Linked DNA regions of Coturnix japonica. The protein of the gene in region 3 interacts with the protein of the main gene of each other region in a pairwise test. Links are inferred from orthologs where the notes say so. Each region holds a gene or a part of one and is shown on either strand. Other genes may lie near its edges. The genes, in order: MYBPC3, PKM, TRIM63, TNNI2, USP13, MYOT and PDHB.

Region 1 (3,500 bases), on a different chromosome or scaffold from region 3:
TTGCTGCGAAGGGGTGGATTATTTATAGAAAATCGTTCCCTAAATATTTTCTTAATCAGCTATCCTTTTGGCTGCAGAAGGGGCCAGGATTAAGGGAGGACTGGATGGGATACTGTGATATTTGCACCCATAAGGCAGTGGGGGAAGTTGAGAGGGTTGGGCAAATTTCTGTCAATTAGCTCTCCTCCTTTCCAGATCCAGTTTGACTCTCACACTTCTAATTATAACAACTAAATGTTCATCAGCAGTTTCATGAAACTGGAACCTCTGTGCTTTGCAGGAAGGGAAATGAGAGATGGAGAAGAGGAAGATGATAAAGGAAAAAAGCTGATTAAGTATAGAATAGCTTTTTCCTAACACATTCTTTTTTAGTGTAAGGATGGTTGAAGAGAAGAGGTGAAAATTGTTCTGTCCTCTTTTTTCCAGGAATTATCAGAGTGTGATAGAACTCACCAATTGGCATGAAGGGTTGTGAGGCAGGGCTTGGCCGGGACATGCCAATAGAATTCACAGCATAAATCCGCATCTCATAAACTACTCCTTCAATCATTCGCTTGGCTTCGTAGGTTAGCTCTTTTAAAAGGTCAAAATTCAGCCTCATCCATCGGTAGCTCTTCTTCTTCTTTCTCTCTAAAATATAGCCTGGAAGGGATATATTTTATGATATAAGAGAACTACAAACGATTGTCTTACATGCAGGAGAAAAAAAACATTTTTCTATGACATAAAGAGACAAACATTACTGCATATAACTTAATTGTGTGAAGCTCTGGTATTTTCCTTAATTTTCCTTTTTTATTACTATCCTTCAGTCTGACATTCTTATTTGAATGGTTATGCTTTCCACAACACAACTCACTTAGAATTGTCTGTCAGTTATTAGGCTTAAGTATATTTCACATGCTATACACTAATTTAGTCAATGTTTCCAGGGTTATTTAGATGTGTATGAAATAGTAAATCATTGCTGGTGAAAGGTGTGGTCATTCTATCCTGCTGTTGGAGAAATACGTGAGACTCAGGAGTTGAACAGAAAACCCTTTTCTTGAAGGAGAGATTGCCTTGAAATATATAAAACGAGTTAAAAACTAATTTATTTCATTCTTCAGCAATCTTGTATCAACAGCTTCAATTGCAATGCAAAATGTTAATAGGAAGAATATGTAATATTTCCCTTAACTTATTTCATATCTCTTTAAAAAGCAAAGTGGCAGAATTTCAGAGTGTCTGAAATTGAGTCGTATCTCGGCTTCAGCCCTACAGTGGAGTGAATCCTGGCCATGCACAGCTTCCTCTCAGCCTGTCCCCATAATAGAGGTGCTCCAGCCCTTCTCTGGACTCGCTCCAACAGATCAGTGTCAGCTGTTTCTTTATACCTAGTTACATTTAATTTCTTCTCTAGTCTGTTTACAGGTGGTGCTTGGTTGTGATGCATGTAGACTCCTTTTAAAAAGATTTTGTTTAGAAAGCTAGTGATCTTACAGGTATGGAGTGAATAATTAGGAAATATGCTGAGTAGCGATTTATACATCCTGTGTACAAATATGTATTTTATGTGGATTTCTACCTATTTCTGCAGATACTATCGTAGCTGGCCACAGTTACAGTCATTATAGGGATATATCAAATTGTGAAGATTTGTGGTTTGAGCCCCAGACCATGGTGTTCACAACGTTTATGGCTATCAAACTTGCAGGTGCTGCTTTGGTATACCTGAGAAGTATGGTTCTTACAGGGCCTGAATGGAAATGGAGAACAATAGGCATTATAGGCACAGACATCCTGAATCAGTAACCTTTCCTTTTAATATGAAATTGCAAGACAATTGAAATGATGCTTGGCTAACTTGTCAAAATATTTCTCTGATTCAAACAGCACAGGTAGGGGGCACCATCACCCTGATACTAAAGGGCCAGATTCCAAAATGGTCTGTAGGGTTGCTTTATTACCGAGTGTATGAGGTTCAGCCTTCTTAGTGTGAATGAATGTATTAAATCCTTCTGCATCGTTTTAAAGGAGCAGAGAAAATAATATATAGGTGAGACTGCTGGGGACTTTATATTTCAGTGCTTCTTACCAAGTACTGGTTGTCCACCATCATATGTAGGAGGTTGCCACTGCACAGTGCAGTAATCTTCTCCAATGTTACTGATCTTGGGAGCTTCTGGAGGGTCAGGGACATCTGAAGGAAATATCAGAATGCATGGGGGTTGTTACTGTTTCTGTTTTACAAATCAATTCGATATTTTAACATTTTTTCCCCCGTATTATAAGTCTAAATCTGAAGAAATCAGTCATCCTGAGGAATTTCCAAATAGTATTAGTGACATATATATTTTTCATCACTGTGGTGCTTTGAAAGTGATTATTGCTTTCTTTCACTTACCAATAACTTTGACTGTGATATCAGCCTTATCTTCTCCCACTGGATTCTTAACTATAACTCTGTATACTCCTTCATCCTCCTTTTCAGCTCCTTCAATGATGAAGACACAGTGGTCTTCATGTTTCTCCACACGAACTCTGCCTTCAGATTCAAATAGAACCTGTGGGCAGTGAAAGTAAAAGGGAAAATCAGTGTGACTTGTGCCCGGGACAGCCTAATGAGCCTGTATGTAAGTCAGTGAAAATTCAAAAGATATAAATAATATCAAATTCTTTTTGTATATAGAAAAAATGGAGGTGAAGTGTCTCAAACTATTTAACTGTAGGTAAGATTGAACCTAAAAGCTTTCCAGGTTGTTAGGATTCATTGCTAGTTATGCACACATGATTGCATTTCAAAGAAGTTACAAAGTACTATGAATTCCTGATTGGGATAACAGCAATGTAAAGTTTCATGGATAATAGGTGGGTAGAGTGTAAATTGAAGGTGATTTGCAAATTCTTTCAAGCATATGAGCAAACATTCTGGTTCAACAGTATCTACATCAGATAACGTGGGTTTGAACAATTTGCTTCTAAAAACGTTGCCATATTTTTTGCTACTGTCATGGTGTCAGTGTGATTTTATTTTTTTTGTCACTCGGGAATGCCATATGGGATGACTTTATGCTCTCCTCAGAGAGATGAGGTCTAAATGTAACAAGAACTTTGCTGTGCATTTATTACACTCTCCATGCTTCACACGCCCACATCTGTAGACAGTAAACAAGAAACTTTACAAAGTGTATGTGCCTATCCAGTGAATAGCACAGAAGAATCTTAAACATATAAAATATTTATATTTTTATTTATTTATATTTTATATATATATGAGGAAACCTTTTGGAAAATTCATCTTTTCACTGTATGTACATACACAGCCTATTTTCCTGAATCTGTAATATTTTCTCCTCTTATTTTACCCTCAGGATATTGTTGAAGCTTACAGTGTAGTGGGGAAAAAAAGAGGGGATAAACATTCACAAATAGATTGAAAAGAATTTTAAACAACTTAATTGATTCCTTGTAATTAAGCCACTGTGTGATGGTAATTAGAGATTTTCTTGATCAGCATC
Region 2 (4,217 bases), on a different chromosome or scaffold from region 3:
CCACATTCGGTCCCCATGGCCTCACATTGGGTGTCTGCACTTCTCTCTCATTGACCCCAGCACACGGTCCCTGTGGTCCCTCAGTTCCTCATGGTCTCTATGGCTCCACGTTGGTTCCCCATAGGTCCTTGTACCCTCCCATTAGATCCCTGTGGTCACCACTCAGTGCCCCCAGCATAGGAACCCTATGGTCCCTCACGGTCCCTATGGCCCCATGTTGAGTCCCCTTGGCCTCACACTGGATGCCCCATGGTCTCTGCTTAGTGTCCCCAAATGTCCTTAGCACAGTTTCCATGGTCCCCCTTGGTGCTCATGGCCTCATGCTGGGTGCCCACAGTTCCCCTGGCCTCACACTGGGTTCCTACAGGTTCCCCTGTTTCTTCATGGTTGCCCCCACTCTCTCTGGCCCCACACTTGGTCCCCATGGTCTCCACTTAGTGTCACCAGCACAGTGTCCCCATGGCTGTGGCACTGGGTGCCCACTTTGGGTGCTACATTACTGTCACAAGGACCCCAAGAGGACCTCAGAACAGAGCCCCTACTTGTGGTGCTGGCACACTGTCCCCTGCACAATGTCCTGATGATCCCAATGCAGAACATCCAGGTAGGGTCCTCCATGGTCCCAGCAGTGTCCCTATGGTCCCAGCACAGGGTCCCCCCATTGCTGGCACCATGTACCCATAGATCCAGCACAGTGTTCTCATGTCCCTGCCTTTCTCTCCCTTTTTTGGGATGACCTGGGGACACCCCACACCAATCAGAACCATGGGGACACCAACTCGATGGCTGCTGACAAGTTCGGGTGCCCAGGCCAGCTCTGTAACTCGAGATACCTATTTTTGTCCCCAAGTGTCTATTTCTGTCCCCAGACCTCAGAGCTGGCAGCAGGGGGATGGCACGTTTCCCCCTGCACCCCATCTTCTGTGGGTGTCACCGCGTTGGGGGGCTATGTGTGACGAAGCCACATGGGTGCAATGACCTTTTCTCACTGGGACACCTGTTTTGTCCCCTAGATTCGGGGAAAACCCCATTGACACATGGGGGACATCGCGGGGTGGCTCAGAGGCCAGCAGGAGCCACTTCACGGCGTCCCTCGGCGGTCCGGCATCCCTGCAGGTACCGTGGGCAAGGGGCTCGGGTGGGAGAGCCGAGGGGAGCGGAGCCATTAAGAGCAGCGCGGCCCCTTTAAGAGCAGCGCGGCCCCTTTAAGAGCAGCGCGGTCCCTTTAAGGCCGCAGCCACTCTTCCCCCGCGTGCTCTCCGGCTGCGCTTGCCGCCCTCTGATTGGCTGCGCGGTGCGTGAGAGTTAAAGCGCTTCCTCCGCAGCTTGCGCGTCCGCCGAAAAAAGGAGTCCCGGCCGTTCGCCCCGTTGCGCAGTGGGCGGAGGGATCCGCGGGGCGGTGCTTCGGCCGGGATCACCTTGGCTTTGCGGCGGGGCGGCGTGCAGAGCGGCGGAGGGGCTCGTAGAGGACGCGTCCGGGCACAGCCGCGGCAGCACCAGGAGGTAACGGCGGCCTCCGGCTCCCACAGGGAGGGCGTTGAAGGAGGGCGGGTAGCCGAGGCCGCCGTCATCGTCGCCGGACCCGGCGTTCAAGCGGGAGTGTTAAGCTCAGGGCAGGGCGATGAGACGCCGAGGGGGCGCTGAGGGGAAGGGCGGCTCCACGCGGCTGGGGTAGCGGCGGCGGAGGGATGGATGGATGGATGGATGTGTGTGTGTGTAGGTGTGTGTGTGTGTAGGTGTGTGTGTGTGTAGGTGTGTGTGTATGTAGGTGCGTGTGTGTAGGTGTGTGTGTATGTAGGTGCGTGTGTGCCCCCAGCGCTCCGCCCGCCCGCCCTGACTCAGCCGTCGGTGCCGCGGCCACGTGCCGTGTCCCCGCTCGGCTCTTGCCGAGGCTCCCCGCTCTCCCAGCCCCGTGCTCCCATCCGTCCCCCTGTAGCCGCCTGCCCGCTCCCTCCGCCCCGCTGCGGCCTTTGAGGCGCTCGGGGGCCGTGAATGGGGCTACGGCGCTTTCGTTGGCGGGGGGCGGCGTGCGGAGCCCGCTCGGTGCCGCTCCGTTAAGGCGCAGCGCTGCTCGGGGAGCGGGTGGGAGCGCGGGGCCGGGTTCGGGCATCGTCCTGCCCCAGGGACGGCACTGGAACGGGAGGGGATGGCGGGGGGGTGTTAGAACTGGGGAACCGCCCTCCGACGCCGGCCCGAAACCGCCGCCGTGAGCGCTCGGCCCGCTCCCGAGCCGCCGTCGGACGGTTGCGGGAGGCGGAGGAACGAACGGGCTCGGCCGAGCGCCGCCACCACGTGCTGCCGTGTGCGGGGGGAGGGGGCGGCGCCGCGCGGTGCGGGTCGGCACGTACGGCATGGGCGGCACTGGGGGGTGTGAGCTGCGCGGGGCATAAGGGGCATAAGCTCCACGCCATAAGTTCGTCGCCCGCGCTTCTTCCCTTCTGATTAAACAGGCTTCGCTTGAGCCTGCCCCGTGCCCTTGTCCTCTAGGAAGGGCAGCCGCAGCACAGCAGCGCGATGCCCAAAGCTCATCCTCCGCCTTGTGGCTCGGCGTCCCGTCCCGGCCGTCCCCACGAGGGCTGCCTTGGAGGCCATCTTGCAGTTGCATAAGGATGCGGCGAAACCTCCCGCAGTACGAGTCATCCCCCCCTCCCTGCCGGGGGGCCCGCCGTGTTGGCGGCGTGCTGGGAGCCCGGCTGCGTGGCCGTGGGGTGGGGATGGCGGTGGGGCTGAGCCTCCGTCGTGCCCCGGGCACGGCTGGGATGCCGCAGCCGGACGTTCCGTAAGTCACTGAGTCACCCCGCTGCTCGGCCCGCTGCCCTCCAACGGTCCGGCCCTTCTGGAATGTTCAGCGGCCGGGGAGGCATCGGCCATTTTGAGCGTGCCCTGCCTGGAATGGGGTGATACCTGGAGGGATTTAAGAGTTACGCCCCGAGAAAGGAAAGCTGCTTTGTGCAGGGAATCAGGCTTTGCGAGGTATTACTCCCCACCCCCTTCCCAGCTCAGCTCACTGTGCCTGCAGGTGTTTCTTAAAAGACAAAAAGTGGGAAATGCCAGACGTTCCTCTTGGGGTTATAAAACAGCCCCTTGGAGCATCCATCCTTGCAATTGGAATGCAGGAGGAAGCAGAGGAACGTGGGGCTCCCTGCAGCCCTGCAGATGGTGGCTGGGTTTTTATTCTGGTGCCGTGTTTCTTCTGTCCTCCCCATACAAGGTCACTGCGTGGCTGCAAAATCTCAGGGGATTCTGACTCCAAGCAATTTAACTCTCCTCCCTTCTTAGACTATTGCAAAGCCTTCGGGGCTTGAAAATCACACTTACAAATGACTTCAGTGGGTGGGGAGTTTCCACAAGGAGGAAGCCGCCTCCAAAGCAGGGCGGCTGTGCTCCTGTATGAGCTGCACTCAGTGCTCTGTTCTCCCCAGCCCTATTCCCTACAGCCACTATTCCCCGCAGTCACACAGGCTCTTTCTGCTGCTGTTTGCAGAGGCAGTTTCCTGGCAGAGGCCCTTTGTCCTGTCCAGCAGGTGCTCCAGGATGCACCAGCAGATGTTAGAAGGCTGAAACACAGTGTTCAGGTCTGAGCAGCGGGCATCCCTGTAATAAAACGCCTTTGTTGAGGCTTTTATGTGGGCAGGCTTTCTTGTACTGACTGAAGTGAATCAGCAGCTTCTGGCAGGGCTGAGGTAAAGGCCGCCTGCCAGGACAAATTATGGTTTCTGCTGGCCCATCTTTGCGCTCCATTTCATGCGTCGATGAGGTGATGGTGAGTCAGGGCTGCCTGCGAGAGGATCTGCACGTAGGAGGGGGGAGCGGCTGCTCAGGGACCTCCGTGCTCACACTGCTCCCTTCTGCTCAGCTTTAGAGGAGCTGCTGGTTTATTAATGCCCTGTGCAGATGGAGGTGCAGCGTGGGGAAAAAAATGGTGAGCTTTGTTCATGTGCCAGATGGGAGTGTGTCCCTGCATGGCGCAGTGTGCCGAGGGTGAGCAGCCCCCCACACCTTGGGGAGCAATGCACTGAAGCTGGTGGCAGCAGCATGCGAAAAGCTGAGCCTTGCACAGGCACAAAGTCCTGTCTCACCTGGCTGTAAATGCAGGAGAGGACAGGCAGGTTTTAGTTGCGTTGCTGATTGAGGACAGAATTCCCAGCCGGGTGTGCTCCCATTGCAGCACACATCAGTGTTTCACTTCAGCTTTCTCATGGGGTTGGGACCTTCCC
Region 3 (4,109 bases):
GCCGCCGCCGCCCGGCCGCCATCATAGGGACCGACCCCCCGAAGGCCACGCCCACTGACGCACCGCATTCTGATTGGCTGCGTGTATGTAGGCATTGGTGCTTATCTATTTCTTCTTTATCTATTTCCTCTTTATCTCTTTTTTATTTATCTCTTTTTTCGTTGCTTGGGGTGGGACAGCAAGCGAGCCTAGCTCCTCTGCTTCACTTTATCTGCGTGTCAGCGGCGCAGCTTTGCAATGACAGCCCCTTACCTATCCCTCTATTCGCCTATTTATTTACCCATCTATTTCTTCACCCATTTATTCACCTGCCCCATCATTGGCAGCGTCTCTGGGCTCCCCCGCTGTCCTCAATGGCAGCAGGGAGCAGATGGAGGTTGTGTTTACAGCGCTCGGGTTGGTTGGTTGGCAGCCGTGCCTGCATTGCTCGGAGCCAACTGGGGGTTGAGGAGGAGCCATTGGGGGCTGGGAAACCGAATGGGGCGTTCCAGCTCATCCTCTTGTGGGAATCCCCTTCATAAAGTCCAGCAGTGATGAGTTCAGTGGGCAGGGCCAGCAATGGGACAGGTGTGCATCCGGTCCCCCCCCCATTCCCTCCCTTACGGTGTGTATCTCAATGTACAAACCTCCTTGGAAGGTCTCCCAGTGCCAAAAAGGGGACAATGTTGCAAGATGTGCTTGGCTGGCTTCTGTGCTGTCACTTGGTTGACATGTGAGAGCCTTCCTGGAAGGAGCGTCTGGAACAGTCACAGGCTGCCCATGTCTGGGGGGTTCATCTGGGACAATATTAGAGCCCCTATAGCGTGCACCCACTGTGCTGTGTCCCTATGCATAAGTGTACTCATACAGCTGTGCACCCACGTATCCATGTGGTCATGCACCCATCTATCTGTGCACCCCTGTACCCTTTGTGCACCCAAGTAACCTCATTTACCCCTGTACTTGCATACTCATGCATCAATGTGCACCCATGCACCTGTGCACTCCTACAGCCCTCTATACAGATACCCCTGCTCCCATGTACCCATGCACTTGTGCCTCTGTGTGCCCATGGCTTTGTGCACCCACCACCCACTTACCGCAGCATCTCAGCACCCATCCCTTTGGCCACTTGCAGCACCTCCTACCCATTGGGCTCTATGGGGAACAGAGAAGCCACCTCACCCAACCCCGTCCTGTGACCCACAGCAGAGGTGTTATAATTATCCTCTCCCCTGCAGCTGCCAATATTTACAGGTCTCCCTGTGCACCGGCGCTGGGATTTGGAAGAACACCGTGTTTACTGGTGTGCCAGCTGACAGCCAGGCAATGTGATCAGGGCGGCTCCCAGCTGGGAGCAGTCTGGAGGGGCCACACTCCTGTTTTCCTGTTGATGTTTCTGGGTCAGGTTTTGCAAACAAGTGCAGGGCACAGCCGGGCATGTGGGATGTGCAGCATGGTGCTGCTGTGCTTGGGAACCCCCTTGCAGGCTGCTATATGGATTTTTGGGGTGCAGAGAAGCATGAGGAAGAGAGGGTGCACGCACCAAGCACATTTGCTGTATCCCCCAGGTGCTGCAGTTCAGCTAAAAAGCCATCAGCTGCCCTGCAGGTGCCTTTCACCCCACAAGAAGTTGCATTTTGAGGGTGCAAAGGGCAATGCAAACCCCCAGCCCGGTGCTTTTTCATCCTGACTCCCCAGCAGCATCGACCCCCCCCCAGTCTCTCGGTGTTCCCCAGCAGGGCCATACGGACAGCATGTCCCCAGCATGTCCCCAGCTTGTTTACTGCGGCCGCGCGCCTCGATTGTCACCGCCATGTGACAGCTGATACCTTCGGACAGCCGAGCCGACTCCACGTGATTGCTGGGCTATGGATAAAAGCTGCACGAGGGGCTCCGGCTCCAGAACTGAGATTGCTCTGAGGAGGAGCAGCAGTGCCGTACCAATGGATTTCCAGCCCAGCATCCTACGTGATGGCAGCCCCATGGAGAGCCTGGAGAAGCAGCTACTGTGCCCCATCTGCCTGGAGATGTTCAGCAAGCCTGTGGTGATCCTGCCCTGCCAGCATAACCTCTGCCGCAAGTGTGCCAACGACATCTTCCAGGTGAGATGAGGACCCCCCTGGACGTTGCCCTGCTCTGGGATGCTCTGCAGGGGCACCTGGGGACACCCCGATGTCCTTGTCCCCCTCCAGGCTGCCAACCCATACTGGCAGAGCCGGGGCAGCAGCATCATCTCAGGGGGCCGGTTCCGCTGCCCTACGTGTCGCCATGAGGTCCTGCTGGACCGCCACGGTGTCTACGGGCTGCAGAGGAACCTGCTGGTGGAGAACATCATCGACATCTACAAGCAGGAGTTCTCCAGGTTGGTCCTATGGGGACACAGGGGCAGCCACATCATTTTTGGGGGGGCGAGGAACCAGGGAGGCTGGCTTGGTGCTCCCCTCCCCACCTTTCCCTAACCCAAATCTCCACCTCACAATTGAGATCTCCATTCTCAACTCGAATCTTCACCCCCAACACAAATCTCCATCTCCCAGCCCAAACCTCCCTCCCAGCCTGTGCTGTTCTAGTCTGCGGTTGCTCTGTGGGGACAGGGGGACCCTAAGGGGGTGGCAGAAGAACGAATCCAGCCCCCATCCTGGCACCCTGCAGCTTTGGCTTTATGTTGAAGATAAGGGGTGTGAGGGACAAATCCAGGCTCTGCTTGTGACAGCAGGGAATGATAAGGGACAGGGGGACAGCCTGAGGGGTCTGACAGCATTACTTAGTGGCAGAGGTGCAGCAGGAGGGGGACAAACAGGGGGGTGATGTTTTTTAAAGGACCCAGACATGTGAGTTCATCTCCCCATTCTCCTGCCCCACTGTAAATATTGTTCCAGCTCCATGGGAACAGGGATGGAAGGCACGTGGCAGGTGGCAGCAGCCCCCGGGGGGGAGCTGGCGAACCCCCCAGTGGTGACTCAATGGCTGTCACCCCCCTGAGCTCCCTGGAGCCCCTGCCCGGGTCACGCGTTGGATGATAATAATAAATGCCAGCAGCACTCAGCTAAAATTAGGAGCTTGTGTAGCATCCCTGGAGCGTGGCCCCAACTGCTGCCATGCCTGATGACACACTGCTACAAACTGGGCTTACTGGGCATGCAGGAGGATAAGGCCAGGATCCGGTTATGGGGCAGTAGTTCTGCATTGGGTGGGGAGGTCACTGCTGTGGGGACGTCACCATGATGGGGACATGACGTCAATATGGTGGGGATGTCATTGTGCTGGGGATGTCATTGTGGTTGGGCTGCTCTCTCCAGCAGGCCGCTCAAGAAGGGGGAGCACCCCATGTGCAAGGATCATGAGGATGAGAGGATCAACATCTACTGCGTCACCTGCGAGGTCCCCACCTGCTCCATGTGCAAGGTCTTCGGTGCTCACAAGGACTGCGAAGTCGCCCCTCTGCAGAGCATCTTCCAGGGCCAGAAGGTGCAACATGGGGGGACATGGGGCCACAGTGGGGAATGGCCAGATCTGGGCGATGTGCTGAGCTAGGGTGGCTGCAAATAGCATTGGGATGCCTCATGGGGTATTAATAGGCAGCAGGCTGACTTTGACCAGGAGACAGGCCTATATTTAGTGCGATGCCCCCCCCTCTCAGCCTGTGGGATGGGGGCTGGATCGTGATACCCTGGCAGCACCCATCTGTGCCCTGCAGGGGTTAAAGCTGCTTCTGTCCATCTGTCCCTTCCCAGAGCGAGCTGAACAACTGCATTTCCATGCTAGTAGCGGGGAACGACCGCATCCAGACCATCATTTCCCAGCTGGAAGATTCCTGCCGCAGCACTGAGGTGAGGGACATGGAAACATCCCCCCAGAAACCAAGTGCTGGGGGAGGCAGCCCCTGAGCAGAGGACACAGGGGCTGGAAGGACACATCTTTGTCCCCATAGGAGAACAGCGAGGCGGCCAAGCAAGAGCTCTGCTCACGTTTTGATGCGTTTATGGCTCTGCTGGAGGAGAAGAAGACGGAGCTACTGGGACGCATCACCCGTGAGCAGGAGGACAAGACAGGCTTTGTGCAGGGCCTCATCCACAAGTACAAGGAGCAGCTGGAGAAGTCCAGCCGGCTGGTGGAGACGGCCATCC
Region 4 (4,300 bases), on a different chromosome or scaffold from region 3:
TTTCCCTCTTCTCACTGGGTTTCTTCCTCATTCTGGATCTGGGGCCTCTTTCTTTTTTTTTTGGAGGACTGCTGCCCTGTGGTTTAACCTCTTTGCAAGGCAGCTCCAGGGAAATTTCTTTGCAGACAGAGAGATTCAGCCTTTTGCTCACCCTATTACCACATCTCACCCTCTAGGACTCCTGTATCTTACAAACAAATCTGTTAACCAACAATTGATTCGTGGGACTTTTCTTTGTGTTCCTTCAACCCACTCTCTGCACTGACCTGAAGCAATGAAGTGAAAGAAAAGCTGCTATCTAGAGGACTTGGTGGGACAGTGGTGCATGTAGTTCTGTAGAGAGCTGGAGAAAATGACTGGAGAATCTTTGGAAAGGGTAATAAAGAGCTGAGTTGAACTTTAGAGTCAAATATGGCCCATGTGGTACTGGAGGAAAAGTGAAGTGGCTGAACTTCTCAGTGGGTGAATGCTGCTCCTGGCTGCGGAGGGTGGCTGCTGTCTGTTTCTGGATGTACTTACTTTAGTCTCTATTCTTTATTTTTCTGGGAAACTGGCTTGAGCTGGGAGAGGCGGGCAACTTAGGAGGATCTGCAGGGTGATGTCTCTCGTCTACAGGCCATGAAGTGGCACCAAGAGTCCTGATGTAGCATGGTTGTGGTGATTTCACTACTCAAACCATCTTGCTCTCAACATTTCAGCATGGATAATCCTGAGCAGACCCAGCCTTACCCACACAAGACACCAGTCCCATCTCAAGCTCTTAGTCTTCCTTTACAGTATCTGCAGTGCTGTGTGCATGATGCTATAGGAAGTCTGCAGCGGCTTGTTTGCTGTTATCTGTGACTTCCAAGAGAAAAATTTGTTGCAGCTACATCTGAATCAGCTTAAAACCCTTTGGATAGCAGGGGAGGGAGTGCCTGGGCTGTGGGAGGAAGACAAGAGCTGTTTGGGCTCTTGTCTCCATGGGATCCCCTACATACACATGCTACATCTGCTGTGGATAGGGCTGGTGAATATTTCCAGTGTCATTTCCATCTGCCTCTTGCTTGTGCTGTGGGTATGTGGTTCTGGGGTGCACTGCAGCAGCTTTGGGGTTGCCTCACATACCCAGCAGCGGCTCCATAGCTTTGAGTAGTTTTGCTTTTTTTTCTTAATAAAAATTTAACATCTGGTGTTAAAATATTTCACATGGGGACGACCAGCAAATATTTTCCTGTGTGTTAACTGAGGTTAAAAGAAGATGCTAGCTCTGAATGACTTGCTCAGGAATGGCTCTCCTACGTGCTGCCAGTGGCTGAATGTTGGTGGGATGATGCATATGCTGCAGGCTCCTTCCAGCCAGTGTTCCCCAAGGGCAGAGCTGCTCCTCTCCTGTGGAGCTGCCTGGCCTGCCCCAGCCAAGGGAGGTGCATGGGGGCTCTTGCACACCATTGGTCTGAGAAGGTCTCCATGCCCTTAAAGAGAAGGTGGATTTTCTGCTGAGCCACCCGAGAAGCCCTTTTATACCTCCTTCCCCGGCCAGCTGCTTGCGGCTTGCCAGTCAGTCCTGGCCAGCCAGCGGGGCTCTCTGTTCCTTCTCCGGACTCGGGTGAGCCCTTATGCATGTCTCTTACTGACCAGCTTGTTCTTACCGGGGTGGCAGGGAGGCACGTTTGCTCACCTGAATGTTGGGGAGGTAAATGCTGGGTGATGTAATCTGCTTGGAGCAATGCGGGTGCTGATAAATCCACCTCTGTCCTGTGCTGGTCAGAGGGTCTGTGCATCGGGAGCTCTGTCTCTCCCAGCTGCCTTCTTTCCCTTTAGTTTCATCCTCACTTGGTTTTGCGCTCTGCCTTAGTCTCCCTAACTCCTCCCTAGTAGGAAAAAGCATCCCCTGCTGTGGCAACTTGCAGTTCTCCCCATCTGCACCCCTCCCTCTGCCTGCTGCGTGTAGCCGCTTCCTCCCCAAATTGCCCCTCAGCACCTGAGTTTCCATAACTCAAGGGCTGGAGTCCCTGTTACTGACTATACCCTGCTATGGGGTTTTTCTGGCATTGCTTCCCCACGCCCTTTGCGCTTTCAATGGATATGGGAATGCCAGCAAAAATAGCTCCTGCTCCTCATCCACCTGTGGTGGCTTTTGCCTCGCGTCGCCCCAACCTCCCTGAGTCACGGGGCCTGGCTGCGTCTGAGGAGACAGCTGCAGCTCCTTGTGCAGCTCCCCAGCCATTTTTAGAAGCACTTTCCCCCCCCACCCCCTTGCTCTTCCCAGCAATGTGTTGTGCCTGCACATTTTCCAGGATAAGGTTTCCTCAGGGAGCTTGGCCCTGCAGCCTTTACCTCCTCCTCAGGAAACAACCCTGTTAACATTTTGCCTCCTAGGTCTGCAGATTGCTGTCTATTAGGGGGTTCACTTCTCTGTAAGGGAATGGCTTCATTTGGGCTTGGCCTGTGCTCCTGCTGTACCCACTGATGGGTATGAGCAGGAAACACTGCTCTAATAAGTAAAGCTGCATTTACAGGGAAGAACTGGCACTGAAAGGTACCTTTCCCTGAGAAATCTCTCCATGCCTTTGCCAACTCAGCAATAGCTTTCAGCACCATGCTTCATTATCTGTGCTGAGCTTTCTCCCCTGCCCCATGCAATGTACACACATTCTGGCAATCCTTGTCACCTATGGTCACTGCCTGGCTCTGTTCCTTATGCCAGAAGCCTCCCCAGTCTTTGAGATTATTCTTGTCCGTGACTCTGTCAGTGCAGTTTTCCCCCTTTGGAAGGCAACAAGACTGAAGCCTAGAGTATTTGTGTTGAGTTTGCTACAGGCCTATACTATGAGGACTGTGTGAAAGCACTACAGAGGTGAAGTAGCTTTTTTCTTCCTTCTTACTACATCATGTAAAGTGGTATATCGTCCAGTCAAGGAAAAGACAAGCCTATAGGCAGTACTGTCACAATCTCTCTTTTTCCAGCCATGCACCTCTTGTCCTGGTGCACATGTGGCTGTGAGCTGGCACATGTTTGCCTTTCATCCACAGAATGCAGCCCAGTTTCCTCTGTGATGGAAATTTGAAGAAGTTGGGAAATATGAGCAAAGCCGTTGTTCCTCTTTTTGGTGTCTAGGGGAATCATGCTTTGTTCTTAAACCCAAGAAAGCCAGTGCTACCATGAATAATTGAGAATTATTTTGGTTCTTGTTGCAGGTTCGTAACCATCTAAAGCAAGATGTCTGAGTAAGTTCCTATTTTCTGTTTCCAGTATGTTGCTGGTGTTCAAACTTTTGTTCAGCTGCCAGCTTTTACATACATACTCTTCTGCTTGTTTCCAATGAGGATGCTAACTGCTTTTTTCTCCTCTTTCTCTTCCTTCCCTTCCTTGCCCATCCGCTCTCCCTGCACAGTGAAGAGGTAAGTGTGTCCTGCTGGGCTTTTCCCTTTAGCAGAGCTCATAGCATCGATCCTCGCTTTGTAGGAAAAGCAGTTATGGCGTGGTGGGAAGAAGGAATGTCCCATGGTCTAGCTTTCCTGATGCCTTCTCGAGAAGAAGGGAAGGACGAGCAAAATTTGAAGGGTCTGCTGGCAGTTGGATGCTTTCCCCCTTTCCTGCTTCCCTAGCCGGCCACGAGGTGGTGCTGAGAAGCGCTGCCCGAACAACTCCAGGACCACATCTCAATTGCCAGCAGCGGGGATGCAAAAAATCCCACCTATGGTGCTGATGCTCAATGGGTGCATTGAGTGCCCTCTAGCCCGGTGACGCAGGGAAGGCTAGGAAAGCAACCTGAGACAAAGCAGCACTTTTCAGAAGGAGAACAAGCCATGGGCTTGGAGTCCTCGAGGAATCTGAACAAGATTCCTCTGGTTAATGGTGCATGATATGTCTAAGCTAGACAAAGATGAAGCTGGTTTGGGGACCAAATGTGTGACAAGCTGTGGGATTGTGTGGTGAAGAGGAAAAGATGAAGGAATCCATCATAACTTACCTTGTTCTCATTTTTCCCACCTGCAGAAAAAGAGGAGGGCAGCCACCGCCCGGCGGCAGCACCTGAAGGTACGTGGCACTGCTGGGGCTGGGCGAGGTGTGTCCTGATCATCCCATCTCCCACCCAGCAGTTGACACTCTCCTGCCTGGGAAAGGCCATGATGCACAATGTGGAGTTCCCTATACCCTTCTCTGCACCTTACCAGGTCACGCAGTAAGACTCTGGTGCGGGGGTAGGCTGGGGTCAGCATCATCCTGAGCTTCCCATAAGTCCCCATGAGTCCCCTTTGCTCAGAGCTGCTGGTATTTTGGACATGGAGAGCTCCCATCTTCTCCTTTGCCCCG
Region 5 (3,500 bases), on a different chromosome or scaffold from region 3:
AGGAAAAATAAATACGCCATCTTCAAGCCCATAATGAAACATTATATATAATTAATCTGGCAAGTCTTCACATTCTACCCTGTGCCATGTTTCACTTTCAAGCCCACACGAACATACTTTTCTTCCTTGCCATTAAATTATTCACTCTATTTAAATTGACAAAGTAAGTCACTGAAAAGCGTCACTTACATCTGAGTGTTGAAATCTTGTGTTGGATCAATTGGGGAGTAGTCAAATATTCTCGGAAGGTTTCCCACATACCTGGGCAGCAAGAACAAAGCACAAACATTCAAATACCACATGTAGATAGATACACAGTCCTCAGCAGTAACACAGCCAGAAGCCCCTTCTGTGCCAGCAAATCAGATTTTGTAGCATGCAAATAACTTCATCTAGCCCTGGTGAATACTTCTACTGCTGAAAAAGAGTAGTAAAGAAATTAGGAAGAGGATATTTAAGTTATGGCTAGAAGTTTCTAGCTAAATAGAAAAGATACCACTTTGCTGTTTATCCAGAATTTACATTCTATTCCTTGATCCTGAAACAGCTGCTAGATGGCATTGCTCAAAACCACAGTGAAACAATGCACTTCCTACTCCAGACCAACAGTGCCAAATAAATTCCTAGAGTTTTTTGTTTGTTGACTTTTAATCAGGAACAAAACACATAAAATAATGCTTGTATTGAGTTTCCTCACAGAAACAAAGGCTAATTCCTAACAACAAATGCTGAAGTATGTATTGATGTAGCCGGTTTGTTGAAAACCAAAGCACTTAGTAACATAATATCTGAGTACTACTTCACTCAAACAAGGGTGAAATAATAGGCTACCTGGGTAGAACCACACTGAAAGAACACAAACACCTAAATTCTGCCAGGACCATGTTTTGTTAAAGACTCTAAAATACTGCTCTGCATAGAAAAACAAGACATAGGGGAACCAGGCAACTAGTAGTAAGTGCTAGCTTGGAGCTACTTACGCTCGCTGGAACTCTGGGATGCTGAAAATGGCCTGCATGACAGCATTGAGGTAGCAGCTATTCCCCAGGTTCTTCATGCCGGTATATCCTGGGCCATACATGGGCTTGAGTTTCACGCCAGCTTCCTGAATCACTTCCCATTCAGAGACTCTTGGTTTTATATCATTATCTCTTAGACCGTTCTCTGTCTGAAGAGAAAAAGGGTTATTTTCTTTGCCTCTTAATTTCTGCAACTATTATACTTGTTGCTGTTATCATCACCAACTTTGTGAACTCTTCTAGAAAAGAAGAGACAGATCAATGAGAAAAGAGAGGTGAATCCCACATGCAGAGGAGGAGGTCAGGGTCAGAAGTGTAGCAGCCTGCTCATCCAATTCATCTCTCAGCTGTTTACTACAGACCACTGGCTCTTTGTATTATTCTCACCGCGCCTTCAATCTCCACTTCTGTATGGGCTGTGTCCTCAAGACTAAGAATAAATACAACACACGTTTTCAAGCTTTATTTTCCCATTTATATTGGTTGGGCAGAGCTGCTACTGTAGAACATAGTCCCAGCAAACAAATCAGATGCAAAAATGCAGCTTCAAGAACTCTATTCTTCATGCAAAAGGAAAAAGCCAAAGTCTGAGATGTTGAAGTCCCAATACCCAGCTCAGCTTTCAATTTGTAGGCACTAATCATTACACCGTCATTTACAGCTAGCGCTACTCCTCCACTTCACAGATAATCTTACAGACTGGTCTGAATACAGTAGGGGAATCCTCCACAATAGCTGAAACTATACATAAGTTCTGCAGATTTTTAAGTAAAAACAGGTTTTTCAGAAGGACCACTGGATAAGAGAAACTTTTTATTCATATATTTGTTCAATATAAGCTACAGACATTGCTCTTCTCCTGTTTCTCTCTACCCCCAACTAGAAAAGTAAACAAGAAACTAAAAAGAAGCTTGATTTCCTACCACTTGCATCTGCAGCATATCAATCCCAAAGTGTGCCAGATGCTTTGCTATATGTGGATCTAAAACCGGCTCCTCTTCATCAAAGGAATAGACATCTACAAAAGCAAAGAGAAACAGATAACATGTTGTATCAAACATTACCCCTTCTCTTTGTTGACCAACATTACATTCTCAGTACAGAAGTGCCTACACAAAATACCTTATTCATATTCTCCAGGTCTGGTTGAGACACATATAATAGCTAGACCCACACTGCTCGGTAAACATCTTAAATGTTTTCTACACGATCAACTCAACTATTCTCCTTTGAGTAAATTACACACCTTGATAGCATTAAAACATATGAAAATTTGGAGCAATTACAGTACTACACAACAACCCCCCACTGCTCTCCCCCAAAAAGTAAAGAAATATGTAGGAGAAAAGGAAGAACACAGTTGACAGGATTTGAAGGTACATATCTAATCCATGTTGTGAACAGAGCAATAATTTCTGAATTTTTTTGTGGAGCTAGAAGACAATGGCAAACACACCAAAACTATGAGCATGTAACTTGGATGGGACTTGGAAGATTAATCTTATCATGAGGGACAAAGTTTGATGTCATTATTGGGATGTCTTGCTTTACTGTATGAGAACTAAATTCTAGCGCTAAAACAGCTCCTCACGGTCCCTAAAGATTTGGAAGGGCAAAGTTCAAACTGAAGAGGGAAGCAGTACGCCTAATGATACTTTTGTTACGAAGCAAAGTTTAATAAATCCAACAAAGGGACAAAAAGGAGATAAAATCTCATTTTAATGCTTACCAAACAAGACTTTAATGAAGCAGTCTTCACCTACTTAAGCAAATAACAGTAAATCTACAGGCATGACGTAAGGATATGAGTTGTAAGACCCACTACAAAGTCTTGGACAGGTCTTGTCTTTTCTCTTCTCTGCTCTTTTCCCCCATAGTATATACTCCTCTGCTCCAGTCTCTACTCATATCAAAGCCCAGAAAGTCTCTGCCAGTACTCCTCTCAGACAAGTTTCCTTCACATCCTACAGAGTTTTCCAGTGATCTTGCCCCATGTGATCAGATCCAGGTTAAGAGAGAAATCTGAACCCTGAACCAGAAGAAATAAGAAAAATTTGGGAGGACGGAGCAAGAATCCAGACAAAGTCTGTTCACAGCACAGATACCACTTCTAAAGAGTCCTTCTGCTCTCCCCTGGCCTCAACCCATCACCTGCATAAAATTTTAACAAGATTCCTGCTTCCTTGAAGACTGCCAGTGGGAAAACCATGCTGAAATGATAGCTTGAGTGTCAGCCACTATTCTAAGATCTAAATGCAACCTATGGGTTTATCAGTCCTATGAAAAACATTAACTCTCAAACCAAGGAATGGTGTTTTTGAGTCACGCTGCTATCTGCCGTCAGCAGCCATCAGACCCTCTATTAACATTGGTTCTGATGACCCCTCTGGCATGCATGGAGCTGTAGCTGCTCATCTACTGGAATTCCACTGTGTAGTAGCAGGCATGCTCAGAGGACTTGACAGCTCATCCACATATAAC
Region 6 (3,979 bases), on a different chromosome or scaffold from region 3:
TCCATGTTTCTTTCCTACCTTCTGGATCTCACACACTTCTGTTCCTTCTCCCTCACACAAGTCATGCCAGCTGTGTGCAGCCATTTAAGCACAAAGCTGTCCTCAAACAGAAGCCTTGCAGCCCACTTTAGTTTGCACCCTCACTGAAGCCCATGGGAAGGCAGAAAGCCCATCTGCACACAGAACTGGCCTTCAGCTGCTCCCAGCTTCCTGCTGAACAAGCCTTCCTGCCACACTTATCCTCTTCTGTTTAATTTTTAAAGCAATCAACTCTCTCTGTACAAACCACAGTTCTGTTTTGACTAAAACAGCAACAACCAAGGCCACACTCCTTCCTTCTCTGCCTTTCACCAGAAGGAAATGAAAGAAATTATCACTCAATCAACACCTGCTTGTAGATATTGTCCACAAATGGTGAGCTGATGCTTAAATACAAACCCTCACGCAGGTTAACTCAGAGATGGCTGTGCTGGAGGACTCACCCTTGCAAGGCTTGGAGGTTTTTTAAACAATAGTATGCATGTTAGGCCACGATTGCTAAACTATAACTAAGATACTTAAATGCTATAATGCTAATTTAAGATGCAATTAAGCAGTGCAGCCTTTGATTAAAGGCACACAAATCACCTAATCTGCCAGCAGAATCTGGTGAAAGCAGCCTGGCTGGCTCTCCTGATCCAAGTTTATATGCATAATAATAGCCCCAAACAGCAATATATCATCAAATAATTCTTCACCAACAAGCCTGTTTAATTGGCGTTATTCAGCATAGGAGTGATTCTTCAGACACACGTGGTTATTCCACCCCCAGCAGTGTTACTGTGTGCTGTGGTGTGAGCAGCAGTGCCAAGCACAGGGCACTGCCAGCTGTGAGCAGTGCTGCATTGTGCTGCTCACCGCTTCCTTCCTAGCCCTGACAGCTGGTGTACACAACCCTGAAAGCAGCACTGAGTTTTAATCACTACGATTAGTTGCTGCTAGTTGTGGTAAATGAGCAAAGAAGGGATTTCACTGAACTACTAAGCAGGACTTAGGGAGGGCTCCATGGGCAGGTCTCACTGCTGCCCACAGCGTGATTTGCTGACTTCAGGCACCTGCCAAAAAATGAGGTTCTGGCCCATAAATAAAGTGCCCTCAGCTAGGGCTGGGCTGGAGACTCTTATTCTGACACTGGTGTAAGCAGGAGGACAGGCAGGTCCAGCAGTGTCATTTGCTGGCACCACATTAAAGTCTCTGGTCTTATAATGCTACGCAGAGGACTACTATGATAGTCTGTGTCAGTGAATGACGGTCCCTTCCCAAAATACGGCTTAAAGCCCAGGTGACAACTTCTAGGCTGTAGGTAAGGCTTTTTTTTTTTTTTTTCCAGCCCTTTTTATTGCAAATCTGGTTATTGAGTTGGCATGGGAAGTTACAATGTGCTGGGTAATGCTGAGATAGAAATAGAAATGTACCTTTAAGGTACCGTAGTGTCAAATGTAATATGGAAGGCAAAGAAGGGGGAAAAAAAAAAAAAACACTGATAAAGCAAAGTGGCTCTTACTGCTTCTTGTTGTCATCTTGTAAAGTCCAAATCTGTTTGGATTTTTCTGCTTCCACCCAGAGCCAGGTGGAATGATTGGAGGGAAACATAACTTACCCCTCGCTGTGAGGAGCAGATCTGTGCGTGGCAGGGCAGCAGCTCAGTGTCTTATTGAACTGCAGTGTGCTAGGAAAGAAAGGTCTGTACAGAGCCTGTACATAAAAAGAATGAATCTGTACACTGATGTCAAAGCAGTATAAAAACAAGATTCGACCAGTTTTCTGCACCAGTGAATGAGAAGATAGTTTGGATACGCTCCAAAAAATCTGATCTGGCTTCAAATTCCAAGAAGGCAACCAGGGGGAAATGAGGGAATCGTTACTATGAAACCTGTTTAGTTACTGTTAATTTACTACTAATGTTTTAATTACCTTTAGGAAATGAAAGCTTTGAAACCTCATAAGACAAGAGCAATGTCTTCAGTTGATTCCCTCCCCTAGGAATTTCTCACCTCTTTGGGCTCTCCAATGAGAGGAATACAATATACTGTGTATATATAGCAGCTAAACAGCTGATCTCAGTGGGGCAAGATTACAATTTTTTCCAGCACATGTAACTGTGTGGATTTACATTCTCATTTTTTATTAGTAGCTTTTCATTTATTTGGAGGGGGAGGAATTGGTATTAATTTATCTTGGAGCTGAAGTTAGTTGTCATTCCTCACAAACTTACTCAGTTGACTCAAATGAAACATTCCTGTGCTGTGAATTGATAGGATACCAACATTTAGATATCGTTGGCTTCCAAAATAAATGGAGGACCCCCGAGCAGCTTGGTGTGCCCTACTTCATCCTGCAGCTACGCCATCCCAGCAGTTAATGGCCACAACAGCAAATCTCAGGGAATGGCTTCCAACAGAGAAGTGTGGTCCTCAGTATTCCAAGTCCCAGATCTTTATTTGTTACATAAAGCTCCGAACTAAGAAGCTCTCAGAGATGAAATCAGGATTCTTGCTTTCCAAAGTTAACTTTTAGGTAGAAAAGCAAGTGGAACTTGTTTCATGCTTCCCTACAGCGTAAGGAATTTCTCAGCAAAAGTAACCAATTCTGCATATAATTGTACATACAGTATTTTGTCAGGGTGTGAAGCTGCAGGATCCAGAGACCTGTAGTTAAGATGATATGCTGTATATCACTCTGCTTTGCAATCGTATCTCCAGCTGTCTGCGTTCAACTGGTGATGGGTTATCGCAGTAAACTTATTGTCATTCCTTGTAGAATTGAGAGGGCTCTTGCAGATAAGATAGCTGTGGTGAGCTCCACAGCTGGGTCTGATGGAGTGTGTGACTCGTTACCTGAAATGTTTGTATAGTTTATAAATATATTCTATATATTCTAATCAATCCTAAATCTTCTTATTATAAGCTTAAGCTTAAACTGTCAACTGCCTGAAAATCGTATTCTTTGGACTGCAAATGACTGCTCAAAGCACAGTATTTCTGCCATTGAAATTGTGATGTACCATTTCTTTTATCTGTATTGTCTTCCTTAAGGGAAAATCCACTCCAAGAAAGCCTCTATCCTGCAAGGCCAGGGTTCCACTCTATTCAGGAGCCCAGCCAAGAAAGCTTTTGTGGCCTGCCACCTAGTTTTTACCAGCCACCCACCCAAAGCCAGTTGTCACCAACCAAAACCCAGGACAGTCGTGAAAGTTCTCCTATGAGTGTCCATAACCTCCCATCCGTTTCCTCTATGTGCCAACCAACCATGTTTAACTACGAACGTCCAAAACATTTTATCCAGTCTAAGAATGTGTGTCAAGGGCAACAGCAGCCTCCAGGATCCTCAACATCTACAGAGTCAAGCAGGCAGATCAAACAGTCCTCCATTCTAATCCAGCCTCGTAACCCTAGCGGGCAGAAATTCTCCTCCTCGTCATCGCTGAGCTCTTCAATCACGCTCTCCTCGCCTTCCTGTAGTGCCCCTAAGGAATCCACATATCCCGTCACACCTGCATCTGCGCAGTCTCCTGCTAGCTCATCATCTGGGCAACGGCTTATATCCATGCCTAACCAAACCCCCGCAGCATTCCTATGCTCAGTGCTACCCTCGCAGCCTGATTATAACAGCCAAACTCCTCCTATGGAACCTCAGTAAGTATACACAGGCTTCTAACCTCCCCTTGCTTTTGTCTGGCCTGGCCTCTCCCATGTACTGACTGATCCAGATCTGTGGTGAAGCCAATGGGACAACTCCCACTGACTTCTGATGTGCAAGGCAGGGCTTTGCATGAGCAGAATGAGCCAAGTTAGGAGGCTGAGAGCTTGCCCTCAGCGTCTGTGGGAGTAACTGAGGGTTAAACTGCATGGCAGTCAAGTCATGGGCTGCCCTGTGGGTTTGTTGGGCTTACTTTGAACAGTTTATTTTGATTTGGGGGAAAATGTTTCATTAATGGTAT
Region 7 (4,014 bases), on a different chromosome or scaffold from region 3:
AATCCCACATCACCATTTGACCCTCCTCATGCAGGAGTCCAAGGACTGCAACTGCACCTGCCCTGCTCCTGCTGGCACCACACAGTCACTCTGCACAGTGTCAGTAGTTGGTTTTACCCACGTATCTTGTTCCATGGCACCAGCAGGCAGCTGTGTGCATGGGGAAACATCTCCCAGCAGTGCTGGATGAAGGCAGGTGTCAGGAGCACATCCTGCACAGCCAACAGTGCTGACACAGGGACCAAGCAGCAGGATGGTGACAAGAATCGTCCCTTCAAACCCAGGCCCACAGGAGGAGTCGGGAACAGCCGCTTTCCATCCCAGAGGAACGCACGGAAGGAAATCTCCCCCTGAGATCGCAATGATTCAGCAAAGGATGCTGGACACGACTGCACCGCTCCACCCGCTGCCCCCAAGTGCCCATCGCCTGGATACCGCTCCCGGCCCCAGCCCGGCCCTCCTGCAGCGAGGGGCAGCCCCTGTTCGAACTGAGGGCCGGGTACAGCCTCACAACATCCCAAACGGGGCCCGGCAGCCCCCAGCCCCAGGTACCCGCAGTCCCACAGGGGGCCCAGCCCCGTTTCCCCCCCCCCAGTGCAGCCTCCGGCCGCTCACAGCCCCGTGTTTCCCTCCCACCCCCCACAGCAGCACAGCACAGCACAGCACAGCATAGCACAGCACAGCACAGCACAGCACAGCACAGCACAGCACAGCATAGCATAGCATAGCATAGCACAGCCCGGCCCGGCCCGGCCCGGCCCCGCCCCTCCTCACACTCACAGTCGCAGGTCCCGGCGCTGAAGCAGAGCCCGGCGATGATGGGGGCGACTGAACCGGGAGCGAAGCAGCCGCCGAGGAGGGAGGAGCGGGGGCGGGTTCTGCCGCGATCCCCTCCCCGTGTCTCCGCCCGCTCCGCTCGGGTGAGGGAGGGAAGCCGCCTCCTTTCACCTCAGGGCCGACAGTGGGGACACCTCGCTCCGCCCCACGCCTCCTTGGCGGGCAGTTGTGTCACTGAAGAGGGGCACACAGATGAAGGGGGGCGGTGGGGGCGGTGCGGTCCCGGCGGCAGGAGGCGATGCCGCGTTGATCGCGCCCCGAGCGGCGCCATGCGAGCAGCACCGAGCGCGGCACGGCCTCACCGCCACCACAGCGCGAGACCGGAAGTGACGCATAAAAAGAGCGCTGGCTGCCAGCGCCAGTTCTCGCGAGAGTTCAGGCAGGGGCCGAGGTAGCGCGGGGGCCGGGCCGTTGCCCGGTGCTATAGAGGACACGGCCAAGATGGCGGCGGCGGCGGGAGCGCTGCGGCTGCTGGTGCCGCGAGGCCGCCTTCTCTCGCCACGCAGAGGCTTCCACCTCTCCGCGCCCGCCGCCATCCAGGTACGGGCCGTGAGGATGGAGCTGGGGCGGGGGGTTCATCCGTACGGGCGGGGTGGTGCGGGTGAGCCGAGGGACGGCCGCCCTGCCCTGCCCAGCACTGCCCGGCTGCCGCTTCCCGCAGGTGACGGTGCGGGACGCGCTGAACCAGGCGCTGGACGAGGAGCTGGAGCGGGATGAGCGTGTGTTCATGCTGGGCGAGGAGGTGGCACAGTACGACGGTGCCTACAAGGTGAGGGAGGGGGGGCCCTGCCGGGGCCGCAGTGCGGGCTGTGCGGGGGCTGACACCGCTCCGATCCTTTCAGATCTCCAGGGGGCTGTGGAAGAAATACGGGGACAAGAGGATCATCGACACCCCCATCTCCGAGGTACGGCGCGGGGCTCCCCCCACAGGGCTCCCCGTGGGCCGAGCTGTGGCGCTTAATGCTGTTTGCTCCTCTTCCAGATGGGCTTCGCAGGAATCGCCGTTGGTGCCGCAATGGTCAGTACGCCCTCAGTCCTAATGAACTGATGTACAAAACGAGCTGCTTTGGTGTTAAAACATATCGTATGGTCTAACTCTGATAGGCGGGGTTGAGGCCGGTGTGTGAATTCATGACGTTCAACTTCTCCATGCAAGCAATCGACCAGGTTATCAACTCTGCTGCCAAGACGTGCTACATGTCTGCAGGAACCATCGCCGTCCCCATCGTGTTCCGTGGCCCCAACGGGGCTTCAGCTGGCGTTGCCGCACAGCACTCGCAGTGCTTCGCTGCCTGGTACGGGCACTGCCCGGGGCTGAAGGTTGTCAGTCCTTGGAGCTCAGAAGATGCCAAGGGGCTGCTGAAGGCATCGATCCGGGACGATAATCCAGGTGAGCACAGTCAGATGACGGCAGTATTTAACTCTCATTTCTGAATGCTTCTTTTCCTCTCCCACCTCATGTAAAAAGATAAAAAGTTTATTCAGCACTTAAGCATTTTGTGCTGTTCTAACCTGCTTGCAGGTACTCATCTAGAAGCTTTGAAAGACACATTTATGAACTCATTGTAAAGGCATTATAAAGGATGAAGATGAGTCAGGAGAAGTACCTGCAGATACAGTACAGTGTAACTCATTTTTTAGAGTTGATGAAGCTTAGATGATAAATTCAGAATCTCATTAAGCAAAATCAGGGCAACCTTCATCTTTCTTTCTCACAAGCACACGTGCAAAATGTAAGGCTTTTTCTGAAGCTAGCAGTTCTACAGAAACATTTCTTAGCCACAGCCTTTGCAGTTTTCCCTTGATCTACCTTTAGAGATGAACTGAAGACAGTATTTAAACTAACTGCGTAGTGAAGTTGATTGACTTTTAATTGTTTGTATTGGTCTTGCAAATATTCTTCTGCGGTACCGTTAATGATAAGTACAGCCTGTTCCTGCAGAGGTATGAATTAATCCAAGTATGTTTTGTTCTAGTTGTGGTGCTGGAAAGTGAATTGCTGTACGGCGTTCCCTTTGAGATGTCAGAACAGGCACAGTCAAAGGACTTTGTTATTCCAATTGGAAAGGCCAAAATAGAAAGGGAAGGTAAGCTGAGAACACAGTGTATGTACCTGTATGTATCCTTACTAACCAAGCTGCCTGGGGACTCTTAGCTGTTCAAAATACTGCTATCATGGGGCACAGGAACACATTTAAATTGTTAAATACTCAAATATGATTTATCCTGTATTGTACTCAATTGTTTGTTCTCAGTTTCTCACTTAAAACTGTACCTCCCTAGAAGGTTTCTTTCTCAGCCTAAGGATGGTGTTGGTGATGTGCAGGGAAGTTCTCACCTTACTATGTCATTTTTGTCCAAAATGCAGAAGATATCATTGTAATTTTTCAGCCTGTTTATAATTTACCAATGAATAGCATGAAAGCGTAAAAAAAAAAATAATCCGAAAAGTATTGAAAACATTATTTAGATCCCTGAATCAAAAGATTATCCTCACATAGTCCTGCTGCCATTCTTCACAGGTATAGAAATACTTAACATTTCATGTAGATGTAAGGAACTTAAATTTGCATGAGAATACTGATGCTACCTACAAAAGAGCCCAAGAAAAATGCTTTTTTGTGTGTGTGGTGGGTTTTTTTTTTTCTGCATTTGTTTCTTCTTTAAAACTTGTTTCTGTTCCAGGAACTCATGTTACATTAGTGGCGCACTCTAGGCCTGTTGGGCACTGTTTGGAAGCAGCTTCTATCCTGGCCAAAGAAGGTGTTGAGTGTGAGGTGTGTGGGGTTTCTGTTGCTTTTCTCTGTACAAGGAAAAAGGCAGAGGGTCACCTTGTTCAGGCTCTGTAGAACATCACTTTATAAACTCCAAGCTTTTGTAAGTGCCTTAACTGCCAGAGTATGTGCATTTCTTGTTTCTGCGTTTGACCTTTTCATCACAAAATCAAGTCAGAACTACCAGAGACTTTCAGATTGATCTGCCTGTACAATGAGCAGAACAATGACAGTATGTAGCAGCATGATTATATACAGTGAGACTCATTAAGCATTTTCCATGCTTGATGAGCCACCAAAAGCCATTCTGAAGCATCTGTCAGGATAAGAAGTAATTTCATTAAGTCTTCTTGTCAAAGTCAGAATAGATTGAAGTGCTAAAGGACACAGTGCCCAAACAGCA

The links.
Region 1: the proteins of TRIM63 (region 3) and MYBPC3 interact in a two-hybrid assay, tested with the Homo sapiens proteins (2 studies listed by BioGRID and IntAct). The link is inferred for Coturnix japonica from reciprocal best matches to the Homo sapiens genes TRIM63 and MYBPC3.
Region 2: the proteins of TRIM63 (region 3) and PKM interact in a two-hybrid assay, tested with the Homo sapiens proteins (3 studies listed by BioGRID and IntAct). The link is inferred for Coturnix japonica from reciprocal best matches to the Homo sapiens genes TRIM63 and PKM.
Region 4: the proteins of TRIM63 (region 3) and TNNI2 interact in a two-hybrid assay, tested with the Homo sapiens proteins (2 studies listed by BioGRID and IntAct). The link is inferred for Coturnix japonica from reciprocal best matches to the Homo sapiens genes TRIM63 and TNNI2.
Region 5: the proteins of TRIM63 (region 3) and USP13 interact in a two-hybrid assay, tested with the Homo sapiens proteins (2 studies listed by BioGRID and IntAct). The link is inferred for Coturnix japonica from reciprocal best matches to the Homo sapiens genes TRIM63 and USP13.
Region 6: the proteins of TRIM63 (region 3) and MYOT interact in a two-hybrid assay, tested with the Homo sapiens proteins (2 studies listed by BioGRID). The link is inferred for Coturnix japonica from reciprocal best matches to the Homo sapiens genes TRIM63 and MYOT.
Region 7: the proteins of TRIM63 (region 3) and PDHB interact in a two-hybrid assay, tested with the Homo sapiens proteins (2 studies listed by BioGRID). The link is inferred for Coturnix japonica from reciprocal best matches to the Homo sapiens genes TRIM63 and PDHB.

What each region holds. Positions count from the first base shown.
Region 1 is NC_029520.1:20,541,497-20,544,996, reverse strand, and holds part of MYBPC3 (myosin-binding protein C, cardiac-type), read right to left. Parts: intron 2,547-3,500; coding exon 2,387-2,546; intron 2,183-2,386; coding exon 2,078-2,182; intron 643-2,077; coding exon 454-642; intron 1-453. UniProt on the Homo sapiens protein: Thick filament-associated protein located in the crossbridge region of vertebrate striated muscle a bands. In vitro it binds MHC, F-actin and native thin filaments, and modifies the activity of actin-activated myosin ATPase.
Region 2 is NC_029525.1:982,278-986,494, reverse strand, and holds the start of PKM (pyruvate kinase PKM), read left to right. Parts: upstream 1-1,417; 5' UTR 1,418-1,503; intron 1,504-4,217. UniProt on the Homo sapiens protein: Catalyzes the final rate-limiting step of glycolysis by mediating the transfer of a phosphoryl group from phosphoenolpyruvate (PEP) to ADP, generating ATP.
Region 3 is NC_029538.1:2,860,550-2,864,658, forward strand, and holds the start of TRIM63 (E3 ubiquitin-protein ligase TRIM63), read left to right. Parts: upstream 1-1,309; 5' UTR 1,310-1,850; coding exon 1,851-2,084; intron 2,085-2,174; coding exon 2,175-2,344; intron 2,345-3,281; coding exon 3,282-3,450; intron 3,451-3,716; coding exon 3,717-3,812; intron 3,813-3,913; coding exon 3,914-4,109. UniProt on the Homo sapiens protein: E3 ubiquitin ligase. Mediates the ubiquitination and subsequent proteasomal degradation of CKM, GMEB1 and HIBADH.
Region 4 is NC_029520.1:10,459,538-10,463,837, forward strand, and holds the start of TNNI2 (troponin I, fast skeletal muscle), read left to right. Parts: upstream 1-1,500; 5' UTR 1,501-1,588; intron 1,589-2,815; exon of another isoform or gene 2,816-2,839; intron 2,840-3,180; 5' UTR 3,181-3,202; coding exon 3,203-3,210; exon of another isoform or gene 3,211-3,215; intron 3,216-3,377; coding exon 3,378-3,384; intron 3,385-3,982; coding exon 3,983-4,024; intron 4,025-4,300. UniProt on the Homo sapiens protein: Troponin I is the inhibitory subunit of troponin, the thin filament regulatory complex which confers calcium-sensitivity to striated muscle actomyosin ATPase activity.
Region 5 is NC_029524.1:15,317,064-15,320,563, forward strand, and holds part of USP13 (ubiquitin carboxyl-terminal hydrolase 13), read right to left. Parts: intron 2,038-3,500; coding exon 1,943-2,037; intron 1,169-1,942; coding exon 981-1,168; intron 262-980; coding exon 190-261; intron 1-189. UniProt on the Homo sapiens protein: Deubiquitinase that mediates deubiquitination of target proteins such as BECN1, MITF, SKP2 and USP10 and is involved in various processes such as autophagy, endoplasmic reticulum-associated degradation (ERAD), cell cycle progression or DNA damage response.
Region 6 is NC_029528.1:3,691,056-3,695,034, forward strand, and holds the start of MYOT (myotilin), read left to right. Parts: upstream 1-1,179; 5' UTR 1,180-1,342; intron 1,343-3,074; 5' UTR 3,075-3,240; coding exon 3,241-3,674; intron 3,675-3,979. UniProt on the Homo sapiens protein: Component of a complex of multiple actin cross-linking proteins. Involved in the control of myofibril assembly and stability at the Z lines in muscle cells.
Region 7 is NC_029527.1:9,335,764-9,339,777, reverse strand, and holds the start of PDHB (pyruvate dehydrogenase E1 component subunit beta, mitochondrial), read left to right. Parts: upstream 1-1,214; 5' UTR 1,215-1,278; coding exon 1,279-1,377; intron 1,378-1,498; coding exon 1,499-1,606; intron 1,607-1,679; coding exon 1,680-1,742; intron 1,743-1,819; coding exon 1,820-1,855; intron 1,856-1,941; coding exon 1,942-2,227; intron 2,228-2,813; coding exon 2,814-2,924; intron 2,925-3,522; coding exon 3,523-3,614; intron 3,615-4,014. UniProt on the Homo sapiens protein: The pyruvate dehydrogenase complex catalyzes the overall conversion of pyruvate to acetyl-CoA and CO(2), and thereby links the glycolytic pathway to the tricarboxylic cycle.